Linked DNA regions of Arabidopsis thaliana. The protein of the gene in region 2 interacts with the protein of the main gene of each other region in a pairwise test. Each region holds a gene or a part of one and is shown on either strand. Other genes may lie near its edges.

What was found.
Region 1: the proteins of AT3G29270 (region 2) and PIP1;5 interact in a two-hybrid assay, tested with the Arabidopsis thaliana proteins (2 studies listed by BioGRID, with this or other methods).
Region 3: the proteins of AT3G29270 (region 2) and AT3G13175 interact in a two-hybrid assay, tested with the Arabidopsis thaliana proteins (2 studies listed by BioGRID, with this or other methods).

What each region holds. Positions count from the first base shown.
Region 1 is NC_003075.7:12,218,755-12,223,041, reverse strand, and holds PIP1;5 (plasma membrane intrinsic protein 1;5), read right to left. Parts: upstream 2,402-4,287; 5' UTR 2,251-2,401; coding exon 1,920-2,250; intron 1,647-1,919; coding exon 1,351-1,646; intron 1,257-1,350; coding exon 1,116-1,256; intron 983-1,115; coding exon 887-982; 3' UTR 574-886; downstream 1-573. Other genes in the region: AT4G23390 (NEP-interacting protein, putative (DUF239)), read left to right, coding at 3,355-3,513, 3,652-3,738, 3,818-4,045, 4,155-4,287. UniProt on the Arabidopsis thaliana protein: Aquaporins facilitate the transport of water and small neutral solutes across cell membranes.
Region 2 is NC_003074.8:11,232,236-11,237,030, forward strand, and holds AT3G29270 (RING/U-box superfamily protein), read left to right. Parts: upstream 1-1,937; 5' UTR 1,938-2,105; exon of another isoform or gene 2,106-3,002; 5' UTR 3,003-3,090; coding exon 3,091-3,882; 3' UTR 3,883-4,223; downstream 4,224-4,795. Other genes in the region: AT3G29280 (uncharacterized protein), read right to left, coding at 4,470-4,537, 4,629-4,795.
Region 3 is NC_003074.8:4,234,509-4,237,511, forward strand, and holds AT3G13175 (uncharacterized protein), read right to left. Parts: upstream 1,307-3,003; 5' UTR 1,073-1,306; coding exon 752-1,072; 3' UTR 567-751; downstream 1-566. Other genes in the region: AT3G13180 (NOL1/NOP2/sun family protein / antitermination NusB domain-containing protein), read right to left, coding at 1,818-1,949, 2,022-2,118, 2,228-2,313, 2,421-2,492, 2,575-2,693, 2,825-2,932.

The DNA.
Region 1 (4,287 bases), on a different chromosome or scaffold from region 2:
ATAAATGTAAACAACCCGAGTACTACATGACCAAAGGGCAAATGCAAATTACTTATTCTCTTAAAGTCAAGCTCAAGCTGAAGTCTTGCACTTTCTTGGCCCATCCATATTGCTACAACTCTTTTTTGGATGATAGTCATGTAGACTCTTTCACATTTCTTGGCCCATTAGATTCTTTCATGACTATCATCCATATTACAAGTTGCTGCATCAAACATGTGAAATATGTTATCATTCATGTGAAAGATGTTACTAAATCTGGTTCTTTTATTATTTTACTGGAACCCTACCATGTGGAACAGAACATGCATTTTCATGACTATCAACCAAAACCAAAACCAAAACCAAAACCCCGAACTGAACATCATCCAAGAATATCTATAACTGAAACTGTGATTCAAAAGTTGAAAATTCAGTTATAAGCATGTTATAAAAAGTGGAAAATGAAAGACTCTTATAGAAGAAAGAAGATGAAGAAATACTTGCGATGATGGTGTTAGACCAGTTCAGTTCGGCTTAGATGTTGTTCTATCAAATTCTACACATTTTACAATTATGTTGCTAATGTTTGGTATTGGAAACACTTATTGACAATGTTAGCAACTTAGCATACCTATGTCCAGTTCAGTTATGTCTCTGTGATATTCAAACAAGATTCTGAGCTTACACATGTACACAATGTATTCTTCCATTGACATAATTAATGTTACAAGATACAATGCCATTGATACATAATAGATTACACATTTACACTGTTACAAGATCAAAGCTCTAGTGGTACATATAGAGATCATCACACATGACATAGGAAACAAGAAGAAAGCATATAGAATTAAAGATTGATATATTCTTAGCTTGATGATGATCAGAGAATATGTAGGAAACTTTATGTCTTGGACTTGAAAGGAATAGCTCTGATGACTATCTGATGGTACAGAGCAGCAAGCGCAGCACCAATGAATGGACCGACCCAGAAGATCCACTGCAGACACATAAAACAAAAGAGACAACAGATAAGAGCAGAATTATCAAAAATTCTGAGTTGCTATTTAGATGCAATTCATAACTTATCATACTTAGCACAACCGTTGATGTAATTAAAGAGGAAAACTTACATGGTCATCCCAAGCATGATCCTTGTTGTAGATGATGGCAGCTCCGAGACTCCTGGCCGGGTTAATGCCAGTTCCAGTAATTGGGATGGTAGCCAAGTGCACCAAGAAGACAGCAAACCCAATTGGAAGCGGAGCCAAGATCTGCAAAATGTTCGATAACCAAAAAACACATGAGCTCTATGTGAAGAATATGAACTCAACACAACTCAAGGATACTAGAGAATTAGCAACATACAGGGACATGAGAGTCTCTGGCACTTCTCTTAGCATCAGTAGCTGAGAAAACAGTGTAAACCAGAACAAAAGTTCCAACAATCTCTGCACCAAGACCTGAACCCTTTGTGTAACCATGAGCCACCACATTAGCTCCACCGCCATTCGTCTGGTACAGCCCTGGTTGAAACCCTTTAACCACACCAGCACCACATATAGCTCCAAGGCACTGCATTACTATGTAGAACAGAGCTCTGGTTAAAGATAGCTTCCTCGCCAAGAACAAACCAAAAGTCACCGCCGGATTAATATGTCCTCCTGCTCATTACCAAACCAATTCGCCACACACAAGTCAAAATCAGATTATGATCTTCACACAGAAGAAACAAAGTGGGGCAAACTAACCAAAGTTTCAAACTTTAAGAAGAAAATTACTCAAAGTTTCAATCTTTAAATGTGAAATTACTTTTAAGTATCAAACTTTCTTCATTATATCCAAGTTTCTCACAACCAAGTAACCCTAATTCCAGATTCCTTCAACCTAAATTCGAAAACTTTAAACAAAATTCAGAGCAAGAACAGATCCTGAACCTGAGATTCCAGCAGTACAGTAAACAAGAGCAAAGATCATGCCACCAAAAGCCCAAGCGATGCCTTGGATTCCAACAGAGGCACACATATTGGGAGCTCTCTTAACACCCATGACTGTCAAAACGGTGACGTAGAGGAAAAGGAAAGTGGCTATGAACTCAGCTATCCCTGCTCTGTAGAAAGACCAAGATTTGAGCTCGCCGGGTTCGAAAAACGGCGCCGGTGGTGGTTCCTTATAGTCCTTGCTCTCCGTCTGAGCCGCCGTACCGATCGGCTGTCTCTCTGGGAACTTGTTGGCTCCAACATTGACGTCTTCTTCTTTGCCTTCCATGTTTCTCTCTCACTCTATCACCACCAACTTTAGTTTGTTGTCTCTGTAAATTTGATGACTGGTGTATGTGGAGGTTTTATAGTTTGGTTCATTTAGGCAAAAATAATTATTAATTAAATTTGCTACTAATTTCCAAAATCTTATATTTGTTATTCATGCAAATTTCTAAATTATCAGAAAATGTGTAAATAAATAAATATAGTTAATTACTAATTATAGAAAATAAATTAGTGAATTTAGACTAAATTAACTTAATCTGTCTAAAATTTTTGTGATAGATAATTTTAATTGCAATGGTTGATATAGAGTCGCACTCAAGTCTCTTTTGATTGATGATTTGCATTTTTTTTATTGTCAATCATAACTCGTGGTTTATAAACCTACATTTTCCATGTAAGACTTTTAATTCGTTTAATGTTTAATAACGGTTTTCTATCTAGTTAGTCTTTGAGCATAATACTTAAATTAAAAAATGTTGTTTTAAGATAAGAATTAGAGGTAGGTAGTTGAAATGGACTGGACAACTAGGCGCGAAAACGATGCATAGAAGAAGATGGACATAAGATTAAGCAACTACCATATAATTTGTTAAAACAGAATATATTACAGCTCAAATGATGTGGACAATTCTAACATAATGTTTCTATCAATTATGTGAATGATATTATAGAGGAAATTATTGGATGTCAAAAATATTATAGATGAAAGAAGACACTTCACATGGAAAATGTTCGCCTTATCGATCTCTACTGTTTATAGATCAATTCATGGTTTATTTAAGTTCCTTTGTGTCACTACTGTGTTTTTTTTTTATATTGGGCTTTGATCTAAAAACTTTTTTTGGGGTCAATTGATCCATAAACAAGCTTTTCCTTTTTCTTATGGAATATACTTTATACAAAAAAAAGTACATTAAAAAAAAGAGAAATCTTACTTTAGCATCTACATATGGGCAATAGAGATAGAGGGAGATACATTTGTCATTTACTGTGTATAGGTTCTTTGGTGGTTATAAATGATCTCAGATTTATGTGACACAATAAATATAGTTGTTCTGCTTCATTTTTTCTTTTGAAAAATATAGATTAAGATCCTTGATTCATCATGAGGTATTCCAATAAACTAATTATCTTGCTAACTTTATCAACAATAGCTCTCATTTTAGTTGGAGAGAGTCACAAAACAATACCTTCGAAAGAGGAGAAAGAAGAGATGAAGAAGCTACTTACCTATCTCAATAAACCTGCAGTCAAAAGTTTCCAAGTAAATTTAGCCTTTCTTTTCTTAAATTTTCATAAAACATTACAAAAATTGTTGACTATTGTAACAATATTACAACTATCATCAAGTTACATTTATTTTCAGACCACACCAATTTTTTCTTGCTTTTGATTTCGACAGACTGAACATGGTTATATATTTGACTGCATCGACATTCAAAAACAGCTAGCTTTTGATCATCCTTTGCTCAAGAACCATTCTATTAAGGTTTATCCTACAAACCACGAAAAAATATCTATAAATAAAATTCTTATTAATGTTTGGATGGATTGAAATATAAATGCAGTTGAAACCCACAACTATACCTAAATGGACCAAAGATAACAACGCTTCTCATAAAACTAGTTCTCTGCCATTTCGACAAGATGACATAAGTTGTCCAGTTGGGACAGTCATTGTCAAAAGAATTATACTTGAAGATCTTATACGAGCTCAACGTTTGCAATCCTTACGATTCAACTATCCAGGACAAGTGTCTGCAAAGGACAAGAAAATTGATTTAACTGGTCATCATGTAAGAATCATTTCTTATTACACGTAGTTGAATTGAGATCGCCTTGTAACTTGTCCACAATGCTTATAATATTTTTTGATTATCTATTCTTTTTCTCTTCGGATTTTAGTTTGCCACAATTAGTTACAAAGATGACCACTATGGAGCAAAAGGAAACATTAACGTATGGAATCCAAACGTCTCACCTGATCAATTTAGTCTTGCGGCTATGGCTGTATCAGGCAACAAAGGATTTCAAAGCA
Region 2 (4,795 bases):
TCATACCAAAAGATTCGTCCTGAGCATGAATCGAAAGGAAAAGAAATCCAAGCAAATACTTTTCAAAAATGTGACAGTGCTTGTTTCAGATGTGACCCTAAGGCACATCGGTATCAGGTATGCCGAACTCCAGCACACCTTTGTGCTCTGTACAAAAAATCTGTTAAGGGAAAAGGAAAGGAAGTGAACCTTGCGGAACATTCTGAGGGTACAACCCACCTTGATGCTTCTGACTTTGCTAATGATCTCGATGAGGTTGTCCTTGTGGAAAACTGAAATTTCTATCGTGTGGGGCTCGAATTAATATGTCATAAATAAATCGACGCTTGCTTGAAATTTCCTAAGTTTGTGTGTTTGTATTACCTATCATGTGTAATTATTGTGTGCTTGTGTTACCTATCATGTATAATTATCGGGTGTTATATGCTTGATTAATAAATTTATTTTCTACTTACCTTAATCGATTATGTTTATTTCAGAAATGGATCACATTACAAATGGAATGGTATCCAAGGCAAACCTTAGAGATATTTGCATACCGAATAGTGGAACAACACACACTATTCTAAAACAAAAAAAAAAATTCTCTCATTTGAAATCAACAAAAGTTATTGTTAACACAATATCAGGTCCCATAGACTTAATTGAATGGACCGGTAAAACAAATTTTGCATTACTTAACGGGACAAAGTTCTCGATAAATAATGCATTATTTTTACCAAATTCAAAAAGAAATTTGTTGAGTTTCAAAGATATATACCTTCATGGATATGACACTCAGTGTGCAAGTGAGAATGAAAAAAAGTACATGTATATCACTTCTGAAAAATTGGGAAAAAGACACGTTTTGGAAAAATTACCAAGACTCCCATCAGGATTGCATCATACATACATTAATTCAATAGGATCACATCTTGTTATCAAAAGAGATCATGATGATTTCACATTGTGGCACGATCGCCTTGGTCACCCAGGCACCACGATGATGCAAAAAATTATAAAAAGCTCACATGGACATTCAATGAAACCCTAAGAGTTTTATCAAGAAAATAAAAGGACATGTGTTACGTTTTCTCTTGGAAAATTGATTATAAGGCCATCGACAAGCAAAATCGATAAAGAATTACCAAAATTCCTTGAACGAGTCAAATGCGACATTTGTGAACCTATACACCCACCATGTATACCATTATATTATTTCATGGTAATGATAGACATGTCTAGTAGATGGTCACATGTTTGTTTGTTATCATCTTGAAATGTGGTATTTGCGAGATTTCTAACTCAGATAATCAAAACTAAGAGCTGAGTTTCCTGATTATCCAATCAAAGGAGTTAGATTAGATAACGTTGGTGAATTTACGTCTCAAGCATTCAATGATTATTACATGGTAACAAGAAAAAATGTCGAACATCCTGCACCCCATGTCCATAGTCATTCGAGGGAGAGCTTGTATGATTATACTTTTTTACCTTACTGTGGTTTCTACCAATGGATTTTATTAGAAAAGTTTTAACGAGACAACATGAAAGATATCGCAAAGAGATAAATGACAAATGAACTCTGGACGAGAAGAATGTTGCAAAAATTAAAGAAATATTTACATATTAAGTCCATTTGCATTTTATCTATATACACTCATATAGATAAAAAAAAAACAACGTAAAGTTTCTTTTATTATTATTTTTCTTTCGTGATTGTTCTTTTTCTCATATTTCTTCTTTTTAATATATTTATTATTATTCTTTTTAAAATATTAAAAAAATTGAATTGATAAATAACTTATAATACAAAATTCTATTAAATTATATTAATAAAATTAACCGCTCTGTGTTTTATTTTTTCAGAGGTTTACTTAATCTTCAATAAGCGTAAATGTTTTGGTTGGTAATGTTATTATGTTTATAAAAAAACAACTAACCAAGTTTTTACGTTAGAAAATATCAAAAACACTTTTGGAAGGAAAACTTGGGTACACGATTGAAACGACGTCGTTTATGAAAGCAAAACAAAACCCAGAAAGTTTAGGTCTCGCCGGAAAAATCGAATCAAGCATCTTCTTCTTTCACGTACGAAACAAAAAGCTCAGAGCAGAGTCGAATCGGTACGAATCTTTATCTAAATCACTCTGATTTAGTTTCGGTTATTGTGAACCATTTGATTGCTCTGTCCTTTCAATTATCTATCTAGGTTCGATTACTTCGTTAGCTGCTTAATTCTGTGATCAATTATCTCATTTAGTGATTTTGATTTTAGGGTTTTCTCTTTCTTCCTTTAATCTTATATTGGGATCTTCTGTATCGGATAAAGTCATAACCTTTGAGATAAAGGAATCATCTTTATTGCTGAAAATGATTGAGCTTTAGGTCTAATACAAGTCTGAGAGTCTGATTTCGATTCTGAGTATAAAAATTGAAACTTTCTATTTAGGGTTTTCTTAATCATTTGTGTTGCTATGGTTGCTTAATGTATCACTAAATCTTGGTCTTATTAGTTGGTTGCTACTGATATAGAATTGCATCTGTGAGTAAATTTAGCTCAAAGATAAAAGAGTCCCCTTTATCGCTGAAATGATCGAGCTTTGAGCTCTAATACAAGTTAAAGCGTTCGAATAATCGATTCTGATCATAAAAATTGAATCTTGCTATATAGTAGTTGCTTAATCATTTGTGTTGCCATGGTTGCTCAATGTAGCACTTAATCTTAGTTGATTCTTAGTTAGAATTGCATCGGTGAGTAAACTTGGCTCAAAGATAAAAGAGTCCCCTTTATCGATGAAATTGTCGAGCTTTGAGCTCTAATACAAGTTAAAGCGTTCGAATATCGATTCTGATCATAAAAATTGAATCTTGCTGTATAGTAGGTTCTTAATGATTTGTGTTACCATGGTTGCTCAATGTAGCACTTAATCTTATTAGTTGATTCTTAGTTGGAATTGCATCGGTGTGTCGTTGGGATTGTCTTTGAAGGATTAATATGTGTTTTCTCTTTGCTTATGAAGCGATGAAGCATCGAGTTCGGTGTTCATGAAGGTCAGAGAGTTAAGTATTAGCAGAACTGGTTAGGTCTTAGTGACAAACAAGGTATTCATGTTATCCATCCCTGATACTAGAATGTGGAATCTAGCATCGAGTTATCTTACGGGAAACATTGGACCGAAAAACGATATCAGAAGACCGGTCCATGCTCATGCGGAGTGTTCAGATGACGATGTATCTTCTGTAGGTAGTAAAGACGAAGGTCTCGAGTGTCCTATATGCTGGGAATCATTTAATATAGTTGAAAACGTTCCGTATGTGTTATGGTGTGGACATACGATGTGTAAAAACTGCATTTTGGGACTTCAATGGGCTATTGTGAAATTGCCTACTCACCCGGTTCAGCTTCCTCTCTTCATTTCATGCCCCTGGTGCAACCTTTTGTCTTTCCGTCTGGTCTTCAGAGGAACACTCAGATTCCCTCACAAGAACTACTTTGTGCTTTGGATGGTCGAGAGGATGAATGGAGAGAGACGTAACTCACCTGGTGGAGCTCAAACAGATGGAAACAATGATCATACAAGGGAAACTCCATCTCCATGTCTCCACAATCGCCATCATCGCAGTCAACCTGAACCATCACGTTCTGTTAATGATCATCGCATTCCAAGGGACAACATACAAACTTCACTGAGGAAGTCTCTGGTTTTCTTTGTCCAGTTGACAGCAAAGTTCCCATTAGTTGTCATATTTCTGCTGATAATACTCTATGCAATACCGACCAGTGCAGCCATATTGGCGATGTACATTCTAGTCACTCTCTTGCTGGCTCTACCGTCGTTTCTCATCCTCTACTTCGCTTATCCTTGTCTCGACTGGCTTGTTCGAGAGATTGTCACATGAACTTTCTAAGGATGCGTTCAGAAACTTCCCATTCCTAATTTGACGACTTTTCTTCAACAACTGAGACCCAAGATCGGTCATGTAAGTATAACAATTTCGTAATTACCGTCTTCTTTATCTATATATGGATGTAGTTTTGGATTGCATTGTTGCTCTACGAAGCTGGACGTATGTGTTGTAAGGGCTCTTGCAGAAACTTATTAGTATTTGTGGATTTGTTTGTGAGTGTTTGAGTGTCTCAATAAGATTTATGTATATAAAGTTTATGCAATGTTATTTAGGAATTGCGTAACTAAATGCATTGATTTTTCTTATATATAATGACTAAATTGTATGGGTTTTTTTTTCTTTTGTTTGTTTGTTCCACCCATTTCCATAGAAGAAAGCAAAAGATGACACCCAAAATTAGGGGTGGGTGTACGGCTTTTCGGTTTGGTTTCGGTTCGGTTATTTCTCTTTTATGTTTTCTATGAGTTCTAGTCTAGATCATTTGAGCTTAAAGCGTTAATTGTGTTCTACGATATGAAACAAAGACTCAAAGAGCATTCAAATATGATGTATACACAAAAAGAAAGAGTTAAGCTGTCTTAGTTTATGTGTCCCTCTTCCACCGCAGCAAAATCAAGCCCGGAAATCTTCATCGGTCCAATGTTAACTGGCAAAAACCCCGGTGTGTTGATTCAACAAAACAAGACAACATAAATGTAATGAGAATGGCACAAGAATAAAGTGTTGGTTTTACTTACTAACAGCATCAAGTCCAGCTAATTTGGGCATAAACTGTCTGATATGGTCCTCTGCTGCTTCATCTGCCTTCAATGTCTCACACTCGAACGAAACCGATACTTTCTTCTTCCCGTGTTTTTCTTCGACTAATCCTATCACATCTTCCTCCCACCTTTCCAAAGACAAG
Region 3 (3,003 bases), 7.0 Mb from region 2:
GAGACATTTTAGTGATGCCAATATAAAATAATCATGTGCACTAAATTTGAAATAATTAATGTGTATGGTAAACTAGATTAGAATTAGTTCTAGACTTCTAGTGGTCGAGATTTGTTCATAAGCTTTATGCTCGGACACGTGAGGAACATACCAAAATGTTCGAATCTATTATGCCATACACTTATTTTAATCATTTCTTCTCTATGATAGATTGCTCACCTAATTTATATATAATCTAAGAATATACTACTTAGCTTTAACGTATTTTATCCGATAACGAATTCATGATACCAAAAAAGTTCTAAAACAAAAGAGGCATCTTGTATTATTTATAGTATTTCTAACTAAAACACAACACTGATAACATTTAAATTGCTTTGTTCCGTTTAATTAGTAAACAAATGAAAAGCTGTCGCGTCGGTGGTTGGGTTTCATTCGGAAAGATTTAAAAGTAAAGCGCACGGATTTTAAGGTCGTTCAACATTTAAATTTTTTTTGAAAGTAAAATCATATATCAATGCAATGTGTAATCTTGTAACGTATAAACTAATGAGAGATACCTAAAGAAAAGAAGCCTCGCGCCTAAACAGAAACATAAGATTAAAATAAGTAATATAGAAGCATAAACTTAAGCAAGATTTTATTCCTCGTGAAAATATTACATTTTGTAATTTTATTTTCTCTAGTATTAAAAAAGGAACAACTAATTAACGGAAATACTTAAGGAATTAAGAACAGAGAGGTCTCATACTTAGTCAAGTTTGGTGAAGCTATCAAAGAGAATGTCTTCGTGTTGTCCGCCGACGACATAGTCAAGAATCCCTTCCGCCGCCACTTTTAAGCCTGCGCCTTCGCCTGGGATGATGGTAGACGAAACCGGGAGATCGGAGGTGCGTGCGAAGAAGAAAACGGCAGCGAGAAAGAGAGCCGTGGAGAGAAAAAGTGGCCAGAAGTAAGATAGAACGGTGAGGAAACCGGGAGAATAAGCGACGAGAGCTACGGTGAGGAGAGATAAAACAAAGGCAAACACGATTTGCAACTTGAACTTCAAAAGCTTCTCCCGGAACTCCATCTCCGATCACCGACAAAGATCTGTGAGTCTGTGACTGTTGTGTTAACACGAGAAAGATGGAGTGAAGAGAGATAGAGATATATCTAAAAGAGAGATAGTACAATGCTAACTCTCTCTCTGTCTTTCCTCTGAGTGTCTATACGTAAAGAAATAGGAAAGATTCTCTGTGACAAGGATAACGTCAAAATCTCAAGTTATTTTGTTTTTAAACGCGTTTGAAAATTATACTGTTTTTCTTCTAACGAAAATGATAATATATTTTTAAGATTTTTATGTTACTTTGTTCTGTGACTTGTATGAACATTTTTTTTTTTGTAAAGTTGTCGTAAAAGTCAAAGAATGAAACATTTTCTGACATAAATAGTAAATCGTACAAAGCTAAAATAATGATAAGAGAGATATTTTCAATTCAGTTATAATGTTGTCCGTTTTGCATGATTGAATTTTTAACTTTGGATTCAGGCCGACCAAAATATGGGCCTTTAAAAGCCCGATTTGGGTTGCTAACAGACGACTACTCTTTTGTTAGAACTTACACGAGCCGCCGTTTCTACTTTCTAGCTCTGGCAAAACGGCGAGGCATTTTCTTTAAACATATCAACATACAATTAGCAGCATCTCTACAAGTTTACACTTCTCTCATAAAACCCAACTCTACGAATAAAAGAGAAGGTGTTTTCATTTATCCTCTTCGTCTAATTGCATCCAAACTCTCAGCAGAGACAAATACAGCTTGCTTTTAACGTCACAAGGCTCGAACCAGACGAGCTGCAAATGCTCCATCTAGTGAGTGTTTCACTGGGTTTGATAAAAAGAAGCCTTGTGAGGTTACAAAACTCGACGGTACAAAACTGGTTACTGGATCTATGGTGAATTCCTGTGAAAGCAGAGAGACTATTTGTTAATATCAACATCTGAAGGAAAGCAAATGGATTATAAAGATTCTTACAGGATGTCTTAAGAGAAATGCTTCGACCCTTCCTTCATTTTCCTCGGGGTCTATGGAGCAAGTACTGTATACCAACACCCCACCGTGCTTCACCAGTCTTTGAGATTCAATCAAGAGTGTCACAGATAAAAGTATCAGATAAGTCGCATATTAGTGTTTCAGAATTAATCAAATGACTCATCAAAATGTATGTACAGAGTGCATACTTGGAGGCAGAATCAAGAAGCTCATCCTGCAGTTTAGTGAGCTCTAACATGTCCTCAAGTTTACGGTTCCAGCGCAAATCCGCTCTCTACAAAATACAGATTAATGGGAACAGGTTAATCAGATCAGGTCAATTCAACTAGCAATGTTAAATCTTGCTGGCGAAACAGTTAGATAAACTTTTCTCATGTTAACCTTGGAGAGGACGCCGAGTCCAGAACACGGGGCATCAAGCAAAACTTTGTCATATTGTACTTCATTGGTTTCCTAAAACACATTAAGTTGGAAGGAAGCATGTGAGTAGCTTACAAACTTGGAAACTTCAGATACTCAAATAATGTTAACTTACAGCAAAGACACGAAGATCAGAATGAATGGTTGTGATAAGTCCATCAACTTGGTGTGATTTTGCTGTCTCACCAAGAATTCTTAGCCGTCCTTCATTCACATCCATAGCATATATCATACCTATAATCGATTCGAGTTTGCCAGTTTGAGGATGGAATCAGTCAAGTATAGTAGAAAAGTTTCTCAAAATAGATAATTTAATTCAACATTAATGTACAATAGAGGAAAATAAGGGGTCTTTGTAATATTACCTTGGCCTTTCAAGCAAGATGCCATGAATAGGGTCTTTCCTCCAGGAGCAGCACATGCATCCATTATCCTCTCGCCTGGCTGAGGTTTCACCACTGAGACTATTAGTCCTGCAGTACCAGATGTGGGGAGATATTTAGATATCAAAAGAACAAAAGGATTTTGGATAAACTTAAATCTG